Kluyveromyces lactis: one gene and its partners. Each later gene encodes a partner of the first gene's protein in a complex. Links are inferred from orthologs where the notes say so. Each region holds a gene or a part of one and is shown on either strand. Other genes may lie near its edges. The genes, in order: MRPL20, MRPL28, MRPL31, MRPL13, MRP7, MRPL24 and MRP20.

Evidence for each region.
Region 2: MRPL20 (region 1) and MRPL28 share a complex: the UniProt entries of both Saccharomyces cerevisiae proteins name them as parts of the mitochondrial large ribosomal subunit. The link is inferred for Kluyveromyces lactis from reciprocal best matches to the Saccharomyces cerevisiae genes MRPL20 and MRPL28.
Region 3: MRPL20 (region 1) and MRPL31 share a complex: the UniProt entries of both Saccharomyces cerevisiae proteins name them as parts of the mitochondrial large ribosomal subunit. The link is inferred for Kluyveromyces lactis from reciprocal best matches to the Saccharomyces cerevisiae genes MRPL20 and MRPL31.
Region 4: MRPL20 (region 1) and MRPL13 share a complex: the UniProt entries of both Saccharomyces cerevisiae proteins name them as parts of the mitochondrial large ribosomal subunit. The link is inferred for Kluyveromyces lactis from reciprocal best matches to the Saccharomyces cerevisiae genes MRPL20 and MRPL13.
Region 5: MRPL20 (region 1) and MRP7 share a complex: the UniProt entries of both Saccharomyces cerevisiae proteins name them as parts of the mitochondrial large ribosomal subunit. The link is inferred for Kluyveromyces lactis from reciprocal best matches to the Saccharomyces cerevisiae genes MRPL20 and MRP7.
Region 6: MRPL20 (region 1) and MRPL24 share a complex: the UniProt entries of both Saccharomyces cerevisiae proteins name them as parts of the mitochondrial large ribosomal subunit. The link is inferred for Kluyveromyces lactis from reciprocal best matches to the Saccharomyces cerevisiae genes MRPL20 and MRPL24.
Region 7: MRPL20 (region 1) and MRP20 share a complex: the UniProt entries of both Saccharomyces cerevisiae proteins name them as parts of the mitochondrial large ribosomal subunit. The link is inferred for Kluyveromyces lactis from reciprocal best matches to the Saccharomyces cerevisiae genes MRPL20 and MRP20.

The regions. Positions count from the first base shown.
Region 1 is NC_006037.1:691,353-693,699, reverse strand, and holds MRPL20 (mitochondrial 54S ribosomal protein mL58), read right to left. Parts: upstream 1,095-2,347; coding exon 501-1,094; downstream 1-500. Other genes in the region: KLLA0_A07777g (uncharacterized protein), read left to right, coding at 1-277; DEAH-box RNA helicase PRP16, read left to right, coding at 1,650-2,347. UniProt on the Saccharomyces cerevisiae protein: Component of the mitochondrial ribosome (mitoribosome), a dedicated translation machinery responsible for the synthesis of mitochondrial genome-encoded proteins, including at least some of the essential transmembrane subunits of the mitochondrial respiratory chain.
Region 2 is NC_006039.1:1,299,935-1,302,140, forward strand, and holds MRPL28 (mitochondrial 54S ribosomal protein mL40), read left to right. Parts: upstream 1-1,262; coding exon 1,263-1,706; downstream 1,707-2,206. Other genes in the region: LFT1 (Lft1p), read left to right, coding at 1-342; KLLA0_C14916g (uncharacterized protein), read right to left, coding at 386-646; KLLA0_C14949g (MFS transporter), read right to left, coding at 2,153-2,206. UniProt on the Saccharomyces cerevisiae protein: Component of the mitochondrial ribosome (mitoribosome), a dedicated translation machinery responsible for the synthesis of mitochondrial genome-encoded proteins, including at least some of the essential transmembrane subunits of the mitochondrial respiratory chain.
Region 3 is NC_006041.1:1,082,310-1,084,667, reverse strand, and holds MRPL31 (mitochondrial 54S ribosomal protein mL60), read left to right. Parts: upstream 1-1,468; coding exon 1,469-1,858; downstream 1,859-2,358. Other genes in the region: APL2 (Apl2p), read left to right, coding at 1-642; CMC1 (Cmc1p), read right to left, coding at 820-1,131; kinetochore-associated Ndc80 complex subunit SPC24, read right to left, coding at 1,936-2,358. UniProt on the Saccharomyces cerevisiae protein: Component of the mitochondrial ribosome (mitoribosome), a dedicated translation machinery responsible for the synthesis of mitochondrial genome-encoded proteins, including at least some of the essential transmembrane subunits of the mitochondrial respiratory chain.
Region 4 is NC_006037.1:258,004-260,695, forward strand, and holds MRPL13 (mitochondrial 54S ribosomal protein mL50 MRPL13), read right to left. Parts: upstream 1,263-2,692; coding exon 501-1,262; downstream 1-500. Other genes in the region: KLLA0_A02893g (uncharacterized protein), read left to right, coding at 1-230; MEH1 (Meh1p), read left to right, coding at 1,862-2,293; RSC4 (Rsc4p), read left to right, coding at 2,624-2,692. UniProt on the Saccharomyces cerevisiae protein: Component of the mitochondrial ribosome (mitoribosome), a dedicated translation machinery responsible for the synthesis of mitochondrial genome-encoded proteins, including at least some of the essential transmembrane subunits of the mitochondrial respiratory chain.
Region 5 is NC_006042.1:1,140,011-1,142,750, reverse strand, and holds MRP7 (mitochondrial 54S ribosomal protein bL27m), read left to right. Parts: upstream 1-1,145; coding exon 1,146-2,240; downstream 2,241-2,740. Other genes in the region: SGF29 (Sgf29p), read right to left, coding at 1-516; ILV6 (acetolactate synthase regulatory subunit), read right to left, coding at 2,510-2,740. UniProt on the Saccharomyces cerevisiae protein: Component of the mitochondrial ribosome (mitoribosome), a dedicated translation machinery responsible for the synthesis of mitochondrial genome-encoded proteins, including at least some of the essential transmembrane subunits of the mitochondrial respiratory chain.
Region 6 is NC_006040.1:1,064,461-1,067,054, reverse strand, and holds MRPL24 (mitochondrial 54S ribosomal protein bL28m), read left to right. Parts: upstream 1-1,326; coding exon 1,327-2,094; downstream 2,095-2,594. Other genes in the region: KLLA0_D12584g (uncharacterized protein), read left to right, coding at 1-1,023. UniProt on the Saccharomyces cerevisiae protein: Component of the mitochondrial ribosome (mitoribosome), a dedicated translation machinery responsible for the synthesis of mitochondrial genome-encoded proteins, including at least some of the essential transmembrane subunits of the mitochondrial respiratory chain.
Region 7 is NC_006038.1:504,701-507,361, forward strand, and holds MRP20 (mitochondrial 54S ribosomal protein uL23m), read left to right. Parts: upstream 1-1,435; coding exon 1,436-2,161; downstream 2,162-2,661. Other genes in the region: DNA-directed RNA polymerase II subunit RPB2, read right to left, coding at 1-655. UniProt on the Saccharomyces cerevisiae protein: Component of the mitochondrial ribosome (mitoribosome), a dedicated translation machinery responsible for the synthesis of mitochondrial genome-encoded proteins, including at least some of the essential transmembrane subunits of the mitochondrial respiratory chain.

The DNA of each region.
Region 1 (2,347 bases):
GGATAAAGAGGACGGAGTTGATAAAGAGGATATAAACAGCGACGAGAGGTTGTTCTGTGAGACGCAGGTGATATCGAATCTGAAGGAGCTGCATACGGTATTGCAGCGGAGGGAGAAATGGTATCAGATAGCAATGTTGTGCGAGGGACAGCATAGGCATCAGATTGCATTGGAACTACAAATAAAAGATGCGTATCAGATGCAGTTATTCGAAGATATAATCCTGAGAATCCGAGATGAGTACGAAATTTTCCAAGAGATGTACGATGGGTATTAGTGGTACTAATGTATCATTTTTTCCTAACGATAATGACCCCAGCTGTAACTTATTGAGATAGACACTAATTTTTGCACGTCTTCCATTGTATTATATTACATGCATATATATAGATGTTATAAGCCATTTAATAGAGTTGATGACTAACGATTGAAACATAAGGTCGATGGTTATCTTATTACTATTTACAGATATACAGTATGTTGTTTTCTTTTACCTTTTCTCATGCTCTGTACCAGAGTTCCTTTCTCTTTTTTCTTTCGGCTCTGGCCAATGCTCTCTTAGGATGCCATTGGCTCTTTATCGTCTCAAGAACTTGATTCATTTCTGTCTTTCTTTCCTTGGGTGGTTCAGAAACAATAGAGATGAACAACGGAGAACAGTTGAACTTCTTTGCTAAAGCTTTTCTAGAGTTTTTCACCGGGTCCTCCAGTCTTAGTCTTCTAATCTCAGCGATGTCTTCAGGCTTCAAATGGTAGGTCTTCTCACCCTTCTCATGTAACACTGGCGCTACCCTCGATATCTCTGCGTTACCTTGCGTTAGGTCATCTATAATGTCGTGCCTTGGATCAGTGGCCGGTAAGAAAGATTTTGGAATCGTTTCTGAGTTAGTAGAACCATGGATAGAGGATGGAGCTGGATCGTAATATAGACCTGCTGGAATCTTGGCTTTCAAATAACCTTTGTAATTGGAGGCAGATGATTTTGGATTGTAAATGGTAGCTGGTCCAACGATCTTAGGTAACTTACCTGATTTATCAATTATCTTTGAAAGATCCTTGGCCGCACGGGCGCTGGTCGAAAATAGTCTCACCATACTGTAGCGAATATGTCAAATGTAATTTCTACAGCGTAATTGGGGATTATAAGCCTGGTGTAAGGGTCTAAAACTTGTTATTTAAACTATCAATCACCATGTTTCGCACTGCAGACTCTAAATCTTTCAGTTTGATGCTTTCAAATTTTTCAGATAGAAATCCTGATGAGACAGACAGGATTAGTATGGGAAAACAGTTTATTTCGAGAAATATAGGATTATTCTAGTGGATATACCTACCTGAAGATGCTTCTATATAATATCGATTAGTACTATGAATGAGTGTGAGCTGACCTGTTAAAATAGGGCTTATATTGGCGATATTATGCAGCTTTTAGAAGTGCCAATTTGGACTATTCTGTATCTTTTGTCACGTGAAAGCCGGGTAATCCCAACATCAACATCAAATGTCGTTCCTATTCACAACAGGAAGAGCTGAAAGGCTATGAGATGGGACAAGAATAATGGCATAAACAGTCCTTGTGATACTTCATTAGCAGCTCTGTCTCATCAGGTTTTACGCCAGGTGGTAGGTTTACCAAGCAACAGAATTAGATGAATGCAGAACTTCAAGAATGGATTCAACAGAATACGGAATCAAGAGTGACAGAGAAGTTTGTTGAGACTTTAAGGCAGATTGCACGTATTCATAAGGATGTAAACAAGTTCATCGGGGGTGCTAAGGCTTTGGGGAAATTTAAGGGCAAAGATGAGTTTTTGAAGCAACTTTTTGAAAAATTACAGGCACATAAGCAGTCTCCAAAGCCAGAATCAGCGGCTGTTCCAGCAAGAACCATAAGGAAAAAATTTGTGGTTAAACTTCCGTTGGATGACAAGGAAGACGACGATGAAGATGAGCTTTCTACTGTGAAGGTACAAGTGAAACCAAAATTCAACAAGCCTTTGACTTTGAAACGTATTACGAAGCAAACTGCAGCAAAATTGAATGAGTTTTCAGAAAACACTGAACCAGTGGTCATGGTAAAAAAAGAAGAAGCGACCAAAGGCACACTTATCGATGCAGAAGGTAGTGATGTGGAAGATATAAAGGACGCCAAGGATTTTACTGCACAAGATAGAAATTGGTACGATAATGATGATGATTTTGATAACGTCATTCACGATGATGAATATATACCAGCTCAGCAAGATCCGTACGAAGGCGGCGACAGAGAGCTTGACTTGAATGAACCTGAAATCCAATTAACTTCCTTATCGTTGAATGAGCGTAAAACCATTATTCCTCCGTTTTT
Region 2 (2,206 bases), on another chromosome or scaffold:
TTGGAACCATTTGTCGCCAAAGCTTTACCGAGAGAGAAGAAGAAGCGACCAAAGGAGAAAAGGAAGAGCAAATTTTGGTTTTGGGGATCCCTTACCCATCATACTGACGAAGGAAACCACAGAGACAAAGCTAGGTCGCCAGAGCTTGAAGATTATAAAATTGGTGTTGTATCACCGAATTCGCGGTCCCCCACGTTATCGATTCCTTTCTCTGATCCCGATAACACTCAGACTATTACCAATAACGCAGTATCGGACAACATTAACCATCACCTGTCGCTAATAGACCTCGACGATGACGAGGAACACTTAAAGTGTTCAACGCCACCGTTAATACTGTGATACGTACTTTTTTTAGGCCTAATATATTTATTTCTCATCCTATTTAAATATCATCTACATTAGCACTGTAACTATATACCTTTTTTTGAGCCGGCGTTATTATAACTTGTTCTCTGCGTACCGGGGTAGCCACGATTGCCTCTGGTATGTGGTTGGTGCTCATATGACCCACTTGATTGCAATTTTCTGCTTGCTCCTCTCGTAGTGCCTTGTCTTCCTTAAGAACATCTGTATACGTTGGAGGATCCTCTGGCAAGGAACTTTTCTTCTCATCAGGATATTGCTTCTGATCGTCTTGAGACATCTTTCCGTAAGTTTGAGTTTAACTGTTTACGACTCCGAATGTTGGTCCAAGGGAAATCTCAACTCTTCGAACAGCGTCGGTTCTGATTGCCATTAAAATATATTGTCGTTTCTATACATTATAAATGGTTCAAACAGGGTCCTTGATGTGCAGATTTCCCTTTAAAACCTTACAAATGGCGTAATGCTATATCATCATATATCAGATGTAAAGATGAAAAGAAGGAAAATATGATATCTAAGGTATTCCAGGCTTTGTTAGATTCAATTTTTCATTATGTGAGGTGGCATAGCAGGTAATCAAGACAAGTCGGAAGTTAATCACCTACCAGCTAGTCGAAGGGCAGCTACTCCCTGTGTACTTGAACCTTTTTAGGTCACGTGCAAAAGAGTTTAGCAGTCAAAATAATCAACAGTTCCGGGTAACAGACATTTGTTTGTTCAACATCAGTAACTTTGAAAAATTTTGAAGATTCGATGAGGTTTCAGTGAGTTTATTGTTAGCTTTGACAATAAATTGAATGACGATTAAATACGGGTTGATTTTCTGCGATAAGTTCGTGTGATAGCATACAGCTTCTCAGCCAACCGAAAGGATCATTAATACTCCATCCACTATGCTAGCGAGTGCAGCATCTCGTAAGAATGCCTTGAAGGTAGTGCAACCCTCTTTGAACTTTGTTCGTGGGAAAAGAACTAAATCGAAAGGTGGATTAAATCCTCAAGCGCAAAGAATCATTACACAACTCTCTGTTATGTCTGCTAGCAGGAAACAGCCAAAACTTTTAAAACTTTCCCGTGAAGATTTGATCAAACATGATATGATTCAAGCTTGTTGGGCGCAATATCAAAGGGAACTGAGGGAAAAGAGAACAAATCTCTTGAAACTACAGTACGAGAATATAGAAGAAGCTATGAACTTATTAGAACAGGTAGATCCCGAACTATATGAAATGGCTAACGCTGAAGAATCAGGTAAGAGGGTCCCATTGGAACTAAGGGTACCTACTCAATACCCACCGAACAATGTGTGGTATTATGATTACAAGAAAAAGGATTGAATAGTTCGTTTCCAGGCATAATGCATTAAAGGTAGAGCACGAATCATATTTCACATTATCTCTTCTAGGACACTTTTTTATCGGTACACCAAACGTGGGTTGCTCGAGAAACAACTTGTGTGATCTACAGGCAAGACCAAGTGCCACGCAATAAAATATAATGGAGATGTTGCATTATATATTGTAATGAAAGAGTTAGATAGAAGAAATGTAAACAAACCATGTAAATAAGCAATTCTACGAAATGATTATCGGCAGAATGAAGCTCTTAAGCTTTTCAAAGGGGACTTTAACCGTATTCCAAAGTGACAGTGTACTTCAGAAAAAAACATGGCTTCTGTGTATACATCGGTTCGAATATGAATAATGGTCTTGTTTACAAATAGCATTATTCATTTGACTTAGATGATTTTAGCTTGAATGGGTACATGGTTAGCAAAATGGCATCACCATACATATTTTCTCCAGAATGATTTGCCTGCGGTGTTTTCAACGTTTGG
Region 3 (2,358 bases), on another chromosome or scaffold:
GAAAATTTGGAAACTAAGCTTGAACCACTGGTAGAAGTTTTCGATGAATTAGGATCCCTAACTCAAATGTCCCTTCTAATGGGTGTAGTGAAATGCCATAATGCAGTCTCAAGTGCTTTCTTACAGAAGATCTTGGAACTTTGTACGACAGACGTCCACGATTTGGACGTTAGAGACATGGCCATGATGTACTGGCGGTGTCTATCGATCGACAACGGTGATCAAATCATCAACCAATTATTTGACAAGCATGAAATTCCTAAATTGCATTCTACCTTGGACCACTTCTCCAAGGAAACATTACAAAGTCTACTTCAAGAGCTCTCCACTCTATCCTCTGTGTATTTCAAACCAATCTCGCAGATGCAACGCCGTCCCAACGAAGTTCACATCATTAAGGATAAGGATATTGATGAATTAAAGGGAATGGCCACGAACGAGATCCTGAAAAACATGAACGATGATGTACTACTTGACATGGGTGATAGCTCTGCCACGAGAAGTACAGGCGTCCTGGACGAACTAAATGATCTTTTCGATATCACTGGTGATATGGGGAAAGTAAACATTTCACAGAAAACCAATAATAACAACAACAACACCTCGAATTCCCATGCAACCGATCTTCTAGACTTAATGTAAACTAGTTTACTCTTTTGAACACCTGTACAAACTATAATTATAATGGGAAACAATGAAGCAGATAAACTTCAATCATGGATGTGCCTTTCTAAAATGTTAATTTATTATGGTGCAGTATCTACTACTATATACAAGTAACCCCAGTGGCATGTCATGTCATGTCATATCATGTCAACTTTATTCCTTTTGTTTCTTGAGAAGATCCTCAAGTCTCTCAATCTTACGTTCCACTATCAAGTCACGTTGACGATCCAGATTAGAATCCTTCTGGTATGATAATATACATTTGCGCATAGCGTCACGAGGTTCGTTACACGCTGGGAAAAGCTTCAATCCATGAATCTTTGAACATTCGACCATGGCCTCCACGTATTCTACACATTGTGCATATGCAAATTTCTTCAAATTCTGACGAGCTTCTTTCTCCTCGGTAGGGTTCAATACCCAAATTGGTAATCTTTGATTATGCTTTCCAACGCCCTCTGACATTTCTAAATGAATAATCTATCTTTGTGGTGCAGTATTCCAGTACTATAAGAACTTCTGACCTATGGTTATGGACACAGCAGCAGCTACAAATGACAATACGCTGGCTGTTCCCCAAAATCGTTTAAATCAGTTGACATTGTTCATTTGCATAATGTTGAGATTTAAAGCTTTTTCATGGATACTTTGAAAAATTTCGAAGGTTTAAAAGATTTAATACCATGAATTACGGTGGGAAATTGGTAAAAGCCAGCCAGTAGCACCGTTATACAAACTGTTTAAGCAGCTCGTTAGGTTCTGTCATACCCGGGTCAATTGAATATCTTTGTTTCATAGAGAAATGTTCGGTGCATTCAGAGCTACACAACCTGCATTAGGTGGATTATTATGGAAAGTCCCATGGCGTATGTCTGGTCCTCAAAAAGCAAGACAAAGAGACCGTTTGAGAAGCGTTGATGATGTTCTTTCAACTCTTAAGTTAGGTCTTCATCTTGAAAGAAACCATATGGCGGTTTCTGAGGGATCTCAGCTGAATCTACGTAAGATTAAACCTCGTGTGAAGAGCTTACGTATTTTAGACAAGGCTCAGTATTTCCCAAAGGAACCGGAGATGTCTGCTACTGATAAGTACAGTGTATTCAACAGGTACTCGAAGGGATATAGAAAGGGTATACATAAAGTTCCCAAATGGACCAAGCTTTCCATCAGAAGAAACCCACGTCATTTCTGATTTGGATGAATCATCATTAAAAACTTCTATTATTACATAGTAAGTAGCCCCTGTACATAGTGAATAAAATCAAGGTATCATAGTTCATCCCAGATGTTGTGAGATGATGATGATGATGATAATGGACGGGCTTCATTCCTTAGATCGAGCAATTGGTCATTATATAGTGCTACGTCAAGGGAATGGAACAACTTCAACTTTAGCACACGTATCTTGTCATCTTTACCGATCGGTTCCTCATCAATCGTGTGGGCAGCATCAGTATCGTCATTGAGTAATTGTTTCTGTGTTTCTACGACCTTTTGAATACCCTCTTGTATCGTATCTCGAAGCTGGTTAATTTCCTGTACCAGTTTATCTATGTCTTGTTGCAATTTCGGTATGTTTAATTCGTCCTCTACGCGTTTCACTTGGCTTGTTTGCTCCTGAAAATTCTTTTTAAGTGCCTGCACTTTAGTTTGCTGTCTTTGCAGCTGTGATTGCAATTGTTTCATGAGCTC
Region 4 (2,692 bases), about 430 kb from region 1:
ACATGAATCTAGATAAGATTGATTTATTGGTTCATTATAGATATGAGACTGTACCACAAGATGCTGTGAATAGATTAATCCAAAATAGGTTCAAAAAAAATGTGCCTTCTCATCCCAAACCATCTAACCAATTAATTCCTGGAATTCCCAATGAAACCCTTCTTCCAGCAGTAATTGTTGCTCTCGGTGCGTCAATTGCCGTGATATTTTCGTTATCGAGAAAACACTAGGTATACAATCAATGCCACGCTCTTTTCAAACCTTATATAAAAGTATATATATATTCACATACAATAATTTTTTTTTGGTGATTGATCTCTCATACTAATGGTTATAGTAACATTATGTATAAGTATTTATATTATGTACAGGATTTAGATTGAAGGAAAAGTCAAATCAAAGATCTGAAAAGCGGCCGACTGGCCTAGTTCAAATGCATTGGAAAAAAAGATATGCGATAGTAAATATAAACAACCCAGAAGAGAGATTGTTTTCGGAGTTTAATCCCTTTTAGCTTTCTCAATAGCGTCTCTTTCATATTGAGCTTCCAATGCGGCGACCTCTTCCAAGATTTTCTTCACCTTCTGTTTTTTCACAGATGGTTTGACATCGGGAACCACGTACACGTTTGGTGGGAATTTGATATTCGATAAATCAATGGCGTTTGGTTCCGATTCCTTAAATTTCCCTAGTTGACCACTTAGTACTTTAATCTCAAACCACGATTTAAATTCCAATGGAGTTTGTAACCTTGTAAGTTCGTAGTCTGGGATAATGTGTCCTGATTTGCATTGTAGCAGTTTACTGAATTTGAACTTGTTTACCAAATTTTCGAAAGGTTTCCCCAGTTGTTCTTCCGTTGGGACATCACCGAAAGTTTCCTGATAACTTTCCAAAACAACCTGTTCCAACTGTTGTTCGGTACTTAATTTATCCTGAGATAACCACTCGTTGAATGGGACGACATCCAACTTTTGTAAACGAATAAGTTCTTCTCTTCTAGATGAATCGATACCAACAAAATCATCATCTGTTAACTCTAATCTTGTGACCGTTGAGCTCTTCACTACAGTTGTTTTCCCGGACTCGATCTCATTTATAACTTCTTTTGTATCTCTTTGCAATTCTGGCTGTGTTGAAACGACACCAGCATCTTTGTTTTTATTTCTTCTGAACCATGACAAGAAATCAGAGCGCACTGCACTTGAAGTGAATTGTCTTGATGAACGCACTACTGGCACGTACCTAGACGCTAGCATCATTATTCTTTTTTGTTTTCGATTGAAAAATATGCACAGTACCACGCTTTAATGAACTGATATCAACCGCCAAATCAGACAACACTAGAAGATACTTCTGTGCTTAAGCTCATCAAGAACTTGACCGTTCAATTAATGTTCTAATATACAATATCTTCATCAAATTGTAAGTTTATAGTTTTTAGATGAAATTTTTCAATTTTTCAATTGGGCATAGAAAGAATGTAGTCCATATGGGAAGGTTCTAAAGAGAGAAAGAAACAGGATCTGAAGCGATAGATAGTTGCATCATAGTGGTCTTTAACAACGGGTCGAGTTAAGTGCGTACTTCCTGGTTTGCATGATGTTCACTGTATTCAGTAACTAAAAGCTGCTTATCTATGTAGCCCGATAGATAAAGAAGACGGGGTTACCCTATTCAAAACACCCACAACCCACATACTAGAATATGAAATTTATGCTTCCCAGTGCTTTTTATCAACATCTATAGTAAGTGTAGTTCCTTTACCTTAAAGCCACCAAGGCAATGAGATAGTTTACGTTTACTAACGAATTCTAGCATCAGTAGCTACCGAAAATCTGCCTAAAACATTTAAAATATTATGGGAAATGTGCTAAGTTGCTGCTTTCGTCAAGATAGCGACGAAAATGACCCGTTATTGCAGGAACAGGACAGGTACGGCTCACAAGCCCAATTAGATTATAACGAAATGGAACAACGACAGAAGGAAAGAGTGCTTGCAAGAGAACTTGAATTGACCGAAATCGTGAATAATACGAACGATAAGCTTATAGATATAGGTATGATCAGCAACAGCGGTATCGTAGCATCCTCACACGATTTAGGTTCGAGCTATGTGCAAGATCAAAGAGAAATTTTACATGACGTACCCTTAACGGTACTTCCCAGTTCGAAAATAAAACAGGACACAAGGAAGGCGATTCAAGAATTTCACAAAAAGTACTTCGCTAACCTAGTGAAAAACCTTACCGTGGAATATAACAAGCCATTGGTCGCCAATATCGAATCGTGACGCAATAGGTTTCTGCACTATTAGCGCACTCAAAATGGGTTCACCAAATGTTGAAATGCGATATATCACTATATACGTCTGAACATTTCTCAATCTTGTAAAGGTACTTTCACTCTCTTTATTGAAAACATTGAAATATACAAACTTTGTAGAATAGACATATAAAACAATACGCAGTATACGATTTTGGTTTGTCAAAGGAGCCAATTAGGTACGGTTAGAGTAAGTGCCTTGACTGCTGCATATATACTGAAATTTGTTCATTTAAGAAGCCAAGGAAGCGAGGAGGCAAAAAAAAAAGCATAAACAAACTGGAAAGCGCCAAATACTATGGCTGTGAAAAGAAGCAGATCAGAAGATCCCAGTGAGGAACCCGAACAAAAGCATTCAAAACAGAAT
Region 5 (2,740 bases), on another chromosome or scaffold:
GATCTCTTTCGAGTTACATTTGAATATACCACCTGGTTTCCCAAATTCATCGGGTTCTGGATCTTTCACTTCAAACCGGAGTCCGTCCCCAGAAACTTTTGTGCATATGCACTGGATCCATTCGCCAGTCTTTTTAGATTTATATGCAACTTCGGAACCAACCTCAATTGGTTCACTTGGGTTGAATTGACTGGTCCAATGTGATCTACCAACAACACTCGATTCAGGGATATGCGTCGAACTGGATTCCTCCTTTAATATAGGTTCCTCTTCCACTGGATAATTATCTAATATGTATGAAATGTTCTCTACCAAATCTCTGCAGTAATTTCTCATCTTTTCATTTACAGACTGACGAGCCTCTAATTTCTCATGGATATCAGCCAATTGATTCAAATTCATATTCTGGAAATTCATATTCTTCGGATCTAAAGACTCAAACCCCGCAATATCTCCTATTTTATATAGATCTTGTAATTGAGTCACGGCAAGACCCCATCTATCTTCCGTTGCCATTTTCGCTAGAATCACTGATATATTTTGTTTTATTTTTTTTTTATCTATGGGCTGTCGGTTCTTAGTATTCCTATTTCAATTAGATAATATGGGCTTCACCAGCACGATAATTAATTTGGGAAACTTCTATAAATGGACGTCCTGTTTATTCAAACGTAAATCTGAAAGGTGAAGACTTCTTTTCGATGCAAGCAGTGTCGGTTTCTTGATGTTTTGTACTTAGAGAAATATGAGTTTTTCGTGCTGGAAGAGAACATCAAAACGTATATAGTGATGGTAGATCTTTAATTGGAACCTCAGTTTCGAATAACTTTGACGTGAATTAGACGTTTACTCCTTCTCAAGCATGAAAAATTCACTATGGTATCGAAAGAACTCTCAGCAATAGATGAAATTGGTAAAATGTATAAATCAATACTTTCAACTCTTAAACAGTCAGTTACACGAACCTTCGAAGGGCTATATCTTGTTGGATTTCGTTGTTACCCTACCTTACAATCCGCCATACTGTGGAAAATTTTTGTCACTAAAATCCTATCTTAAATACATTAAGTACAGATACACGCAGAAATACAGTTACTGTGACATTGCTTGATACTGTTCGGACCAGGCCTACGAAACAACGCATAATGTTCTCATCTTCGTGGCAACAAGTTCCCAAGTTTGTGGTGCAGCAGGTGCGTACTGCAACCAAGCGTGCAGCAGGTTCTCGTACCAGTATGAAGGACTCTGCTGGTCGTAGATTGGGTCCAAAAAAATACGAGGGTCAAGCCACTCAAGTTGGTGAGATCATCATGAGACAACGTGGTACCAAGTTTTATCCTGGTGAAAATGTAGGCATCGGTAAAGATCATACGCTTTTCGCTTTGGAGCCGGGTTATGTGAGATACTATTTGGATCCATTTCATCCAGGTAAGAAATTCATTGGTGTATCATTATACAAGGATGTAAAGCTTCCTTTGCCGCATTTCGAACCACGTTTGAGAAGATTCGGCAAGGCCATCATTGAGGATGAAGAGAAAGCCATTGCAGAAGAGAACGCTTTACCAAGAAAGATTTATTTGCTGAAGGATGAATTGATCAAGAAACAGCAAGAACGTGAGATTAAACGTGAAGAGTTGAAGGCAGAATACAGCAAGATAATTTCAGATCTGAAAGTTGAGCTGGATCAACAAGAACTTGCGTTTGCATTACCATATTTGCTCAGATGGAGAACTTGTTTGAAGAATGGGTTCAATGAATCCGATGCCCGATTTAATTCGTACTACTATTTGGAACAAGAACTTAAATTGAAGATGAGAAACCAAGAAAAATCTAAGTTGGACGACAAACTAACATTGTTGAAACAGGTCTCGACCAAATTGAATGAATCATTGTCATTTAACAACAAGCTTGAATTAACTAAATACATTTCTCCAGAAGAAAAGAATACTCTAAAGACACAACTAATTACTGATTTGAAGGCAATTGATATTAAGGACAAGAACAGTAAGAAGCAAGTACTAGCCAAGTTTACTGATGCAAAGAACTTCTTGACGTTATCTGAAGAGGTGAGACTACGCAGAAAATTCTTGAAGCCAGTGAAACCAGAAACAGAATTGAAGAAATTGGAAGAACCACTCAAACCTTCCAAGAAAAATCTAACCACCAGACGTTACAACTACGAACAAAACACGATAGATGTCATTACAAGACCAAAGACCGATTTCTTGAGCAAATTGTAAATCTTCCCCAAGTCGTTACGTAACAAACCATTTAGAGCCTTGTACATATTAACAAAAGAACCACAACAATCATCATAGTTTAAACTGAAAAAAACGAAAGTTTTTTAGAGACTATATATCATTTGGAAAGGTTAATTCCATATTATATCGTTAACGTATTTAATTTGTCTATATGTGTGAGACAAAATCCAAAACATACTCTTACATTACTATTTTTTTGATATTGGATTGTTTTGAGGTACAAAACTATGGCAGGTGAGCCCTTTGGATCAACCAGGAGGCAATTGAGAGATATCAACGATGTCATTCATCTTGCTTTGAGCATCATCTTCATCACCGACAGATAAATGGGTTCTTGGTAGAGCCATCATACCTGATCTTGCCACTTCCAAGATACCGAAAGGTTCCACAAGTTTCAAGAATGCAGAGATACGGGATGGTTTAGCACATAATTCCACAATACAACTTTGTTCAGCGATATCAACAATCTTACCACCAAA
Region 6 (2,594 bases), on another chromosome or scaffold:
CAGGGCATGGGTTTTATTGCTACTACTTTAATATTGAACTGTGAAGAAGAATGGCAAGCGTTTTCTCTATTAACGAAACTCATGAAAGTATACGGATTAAGGGATTTATTCTTGCCGGGAATGCCTGGCCTGATGTTGAAATTGTACCAATTTGATACACTTTTGGAGGAAAATGATCCTCAATTGTATAACCATTTGATCAGGCAGGGAATAAGATCTACAATGTTTGCAACTCAATGGTTCCTGACGATGTTCGCATACAAATTTCCCCTTGAATTCGTTCTCAGAATCATGGATATTGTCATACTTGAAGGTATCGAATCGATGCTAAAATTCAGTTTAACGTTGATGTTAAAGAACAGTCGTAATTTGATCATTCTCAGTTTCGATTCTCTCTTAGACTTCTTGAAGGAGGACCTTTTCCAACACTATGCTTCTAAGGAGAACCCAGAAGAGTACGATATTGATAGATTCATCTCTGATTCGTTGGAAATCAAATTAACTCCATTGCAATTGGAGCGTTACGTGAAAGAGTACGATGAGATTCACAAGTTGGAAACGGAAAAGGAACAACAATATGAGGAACAAAGAATTAAAAACAGACAGCTTCAAAAAGAGTTGAAGAAATTAGAAAATGACTATTCGCTATTAAACAGAGAGCATATCACTATTGCCAATGAACTAATTGAAAACAGACTTCGGATGGAAACTCTTCAGGACGAAAATAAGGATTTATTACTAGAGATAGAAGATTTGAAGAAACAACTGGAACGTGAACTTTATAAACAAACGTTACCTAATCCAGATGCTGAAATTCCCACAGATTTGAAAGCAGATTTGAATAGAACAATGGAAAGAAATCTGGAAGTTATGGACGAAAATCAAGAGCTCAGAACACGCCTTGACGAATTAGAAAAAGAGAACTATGAATTACGCACAGGTAAGACTTGGACCAAAGATGCCACCAATCCAAAGGGAAATCGTCTCGGGAATTGGGCTTTCAAATCACCATGGAAGAAATGAGAAAAATTGCAACAGGGACCTCATTCACAATATCCATCCAGCCGTACATATATACATACCCTTCATACATACATGATACCGCCAACCATTACGCAGAGGTGTATTCTAATCATAAATTTCCTTATGCTTTACCATTCTCGCTGTATACGGTTTTGATCTTTCCAAAGCTTATTCAAAATTTTAGAAAATAACGACTTGATACATGCACTAAGGTGAAGAGAAGGAGCTTGAACCTAGTATGAAGCTAGTTGGTCTAAGAGTCTCTGTACGTTCACCAATAAGCACGGAGATCGTTCATCTGGAATGAAGTTTTTTCCAAGTTCCCAAAGAGGGTTTTCCACTCTTAGCCACCTCCTCAGAGAATGGAGATTAGTTGAAAGCAGACAGATCCCAACTCCAAAGACGTATCAAGTCGGCGACAGCAAGCCATTATATATCCCAAAGGAGAAGAAGGAATTCCCTGATTATCCATACGGAGAATCTCCAATTTACAAACAGAGTAACAAAGGTTTATACGGTGCGTCTTTCATCCAATTCGGTAATAACATCGCTGAATCGAAGACAAAAACCAGGAGATCATGGAGTCCAAACGTTATTAGAAAAGGACTATGGAGTGAGACTTTGAACAGAAAGATTAGTATTAAGATGACAGCAAAAGTTTTAAGAACAATTACCAAGGAAGGTGGTATTGACAACTATTTGACTAAGGAAAAGGCCGCCAGAATTAAGGAATTGGGACCTACTGGTTGGAAACTCCGTTACAGACTACTGAACTCTAAGGAAAAAGCTGCCAATCCTGTACATAAGGACGCTGAGACTGTCACAGATGCCAATGGCAACGAAGTCACCGTATTGTACAAAGTTGTTGTCGATGGAGAACCATTGAGAATTACTGCTGGTAAGCGTAAACTATTGCATACCCTTTTCCCATTGGAAAAGATGGAACACAAAGCGGATGGATTAGATCTATCGTTTAAGAAATTCATGGACCAATTTGCTACCCGTGACGTGGCAGACATCGTATCGAGATTAAAGGCCTTGAATTTCGATTTGAGTACGATTACTGTATGAGAACTGAATAGATTTTGTTCCAATTTTATATAAAAGCTTGTAAACAATGAGAAAATAGATTCTACCATGAGCTGGGAGGATGCTTGAAGACTATGCGTTAGTTGTCCGACTGACCGATGCAAGAGTTAATCACCCACTGTTCAATTGAATTGAACGGTGTGCATGTGACTGTTGCACCCAGACATTATTGACTGTTGCACCCATACATACTCAATTTCTGCTGAAAATGAGAATGTTTCCATACTAGGAAATTATTTTCTCATGTCCACCAAATCCGCTGAGCTGACGGTAGGATGCACAGACACATCCCATCCGTCTTCGTTGCTTGCTTCGAGCTGGGCAGGGCCTGTCCCGTTTCCTCCCTAAGCTGGACTGCCCGGTCTGGGCCTGGACATTCCACCAAACTGGCCGCTGGACTGCCCACTTAGACCCCAGGCTAGGCATCTCATGGTTTCCATTCACTTCCCATACCCTCCCAAACACTCCTCCGGGTAATCATC
Region 7 (2,661 bases), on another chromosome or scaffold:
CTTGGACAATATTACCTGCAGAACGTTCTTGAGCGATCAAAACCTTTTCTGAACCGTTAATGATAAAGTAACCACCCATGTCGAACGGACATTCCTTCAAACGATACAAATCAGATTCTGTCAAATCGTCCAACAAACAGTACTTCGATCTCAACATGATAGGTACTCTCCCGATGAAAATTTTATTATTTTCCTCATTCTCTTCACTTTCCTCAGTGATAATTTCGTATTTCAAATCACGACCTGGAATATCAATAGCCTGATAAGTTCTCTTCTGAATTTCCACAAATAAACCTGATGCGTAAGTCAAGTTTCTGAGACGGGCTTCCTGCGGATACATCGCATGAGAAACACCATCTGACTCAGTCATGGATGGTTTGGCCAAATAAATCTTACCAAATGAAATTTCATACTTTCTGGAAATGTTGTCCGTTTCAGTGGTATGCTGTGCTAATTGTTCCAAAATCAAGGTACTGTCTTCCAAGATAAGATCCTGAATCGTATAGTTGATGAATTGGTTAAAAGAATCCAACTGCTGAGATACTAAACCTTTTTCTCTGAAGAAAGCGGAGATAACAGTCCACGAATCTTCTGCTGAAATAGCAGCTTCTTCCTCATCGTACCCATATGGATCTTCATCATAGTATTCAGTCATCCTTGGTCTGTATTAAGAATTGCAAACGTTAATAATCTACACTGACCTCACAACCGTGGCAAATAATGCGTACGTGCGTGCTTATTATTAAAGTACAGAATAACACTCTTTGTTGTGTTGCTCGCAACCTGAAAAGAAATGTGTATTACTGGTCAAACAAAGAAGAAAACACACCCCAAATACAAAGAGTTAAGGACTTACCCAATAATCCGAAACAAACCCCACTCTGACAGAAGATGATTAAGCCGACTGGTACTCTCTTTTCTCTTCTCTCTTCCAATCTTCCTATTAACGATCAATCGGTAATTACGTTTCGCCTCTCAAAACAATAATATTTCAATTTCAAGCTTCCAGAGTATTTTTTTTCTTCACTATAAAGAGAACATCATTTCCCACGTCACAAACGGGTAACAGCATTTATTCAAAAATTTCAATATATCAGGTCACGTGAAGATCATTTCCTACGCTCTGATTTTTCCAATAAAAAATCTTTCTTCTAAAACATCCCAGAGCTCTCCAGTTTTGTACGACATATTCTACGTTAGATTCGTGCCAAAATGTGTACTCATCAGCTTTTCTAATATCTACTAACATGGAAAATGAGTATTTTAAAGCTTTTCATTGAAATGATTTCGATTTTAACATTAAGATTTGTATGAAGATGAGGCTTCTAAGAGACGCATACAAGAACAGGATTATTTGGGACTTTTCAGTTGCGAGTGCAGAGCGAAGTGAAGTAGTAATCTTTGCGCCAGTGTTTCTGTTCAATATCTATAACAAATGCCTCGTTTTTTCCCATCTCTCAAACAGGGTTTGAGAAACCTTGCTACTGCGGTAGAGACGGAATCTACAGTAGCAGTCAAAGCCAGTCAGTTCAAGAGACCTCGTCAATCCGTACAAAGCAGAATCTTGGAGTACACTCGTGAAGCGATTAAAACTGAGAAACCACATTTTAAAGTTGGTGGTGCAGAGCTCTATTTTCCTAAAGCGAGAGTTATTCTACTAAGACCAAATGCTAAACACACTCCATATCAAGCGAAATTCATCGTTCCTAAATCGTTTAACAAATTAGATTTAAGAGATTATTTATTCCACCTTTATGGTTTAAGAGCGTTGAACGTTACTACACAGTTATTGCATGCCAGATACACTCGTGCTACGCCGGTGTCGCCCAGGTACCGTGGTCCTCAAATCAAGAAGATGACTATCGATATGGCAGAACCATTTATCTGGCCTGCAGAACCTGAGGACAAGAGTGCATGGAATACTGAGTTCCAAAAGGAATTGGAAAAATACAGAAACGATAGGATGAGACTAGGATCCGACGCTAACAAACCTTCAAAGGCATTCGATGGTGTATTGGGACCATACCAGGAAACTGCAAAACCTTTCATTCCTAGATTCCTTAAAAGAAGACTAGTGAATAAGAAGGCTAGAGAGGCAAAGAAGGAACAATATTTGGAGCAAATCAAGAAGGTCAGTGAAGTCCTTGCTAAAAGCACATGAATTTCAGAGAATTTATTCTTTCATGAATTAAATTCTAGTAAAAGTATTACATCCTGTAAATATAATGTATGAAATATAGTACTGATTTAAAAACTGTCATAGCAAAATAATATGACGACTACTTGTGAACATTTTCAATGTTTAAATGAGAAATAAGTTTGAAGAACACTATATGTATGTATAAAAGATAAATACATTGTGGTGAATATTAAGGGAAAGTTAAGTGCAGTATGTCCCAGTTTGAAAAAAAATGAAGCGAAAAAAGAGTAACGGTATAAGATTTCTATTTGATTCCTGAATTTCCGTTGTATTGATCTTCACGGTTCAGGATGGAAGGGTTCAATAACGGGCAGGTGCTCATTTAATGTCATACTTAGTCACTAAACGGTTAATCTTGTTTCTTTTTTTCCTGTTGCTGATTATACTAAGATTGGCATTCTAATGTTCTTTATAAGTTCCTATTCCAATTAGTACACGGAGTTTCTAGTTTTTTTGTTCCT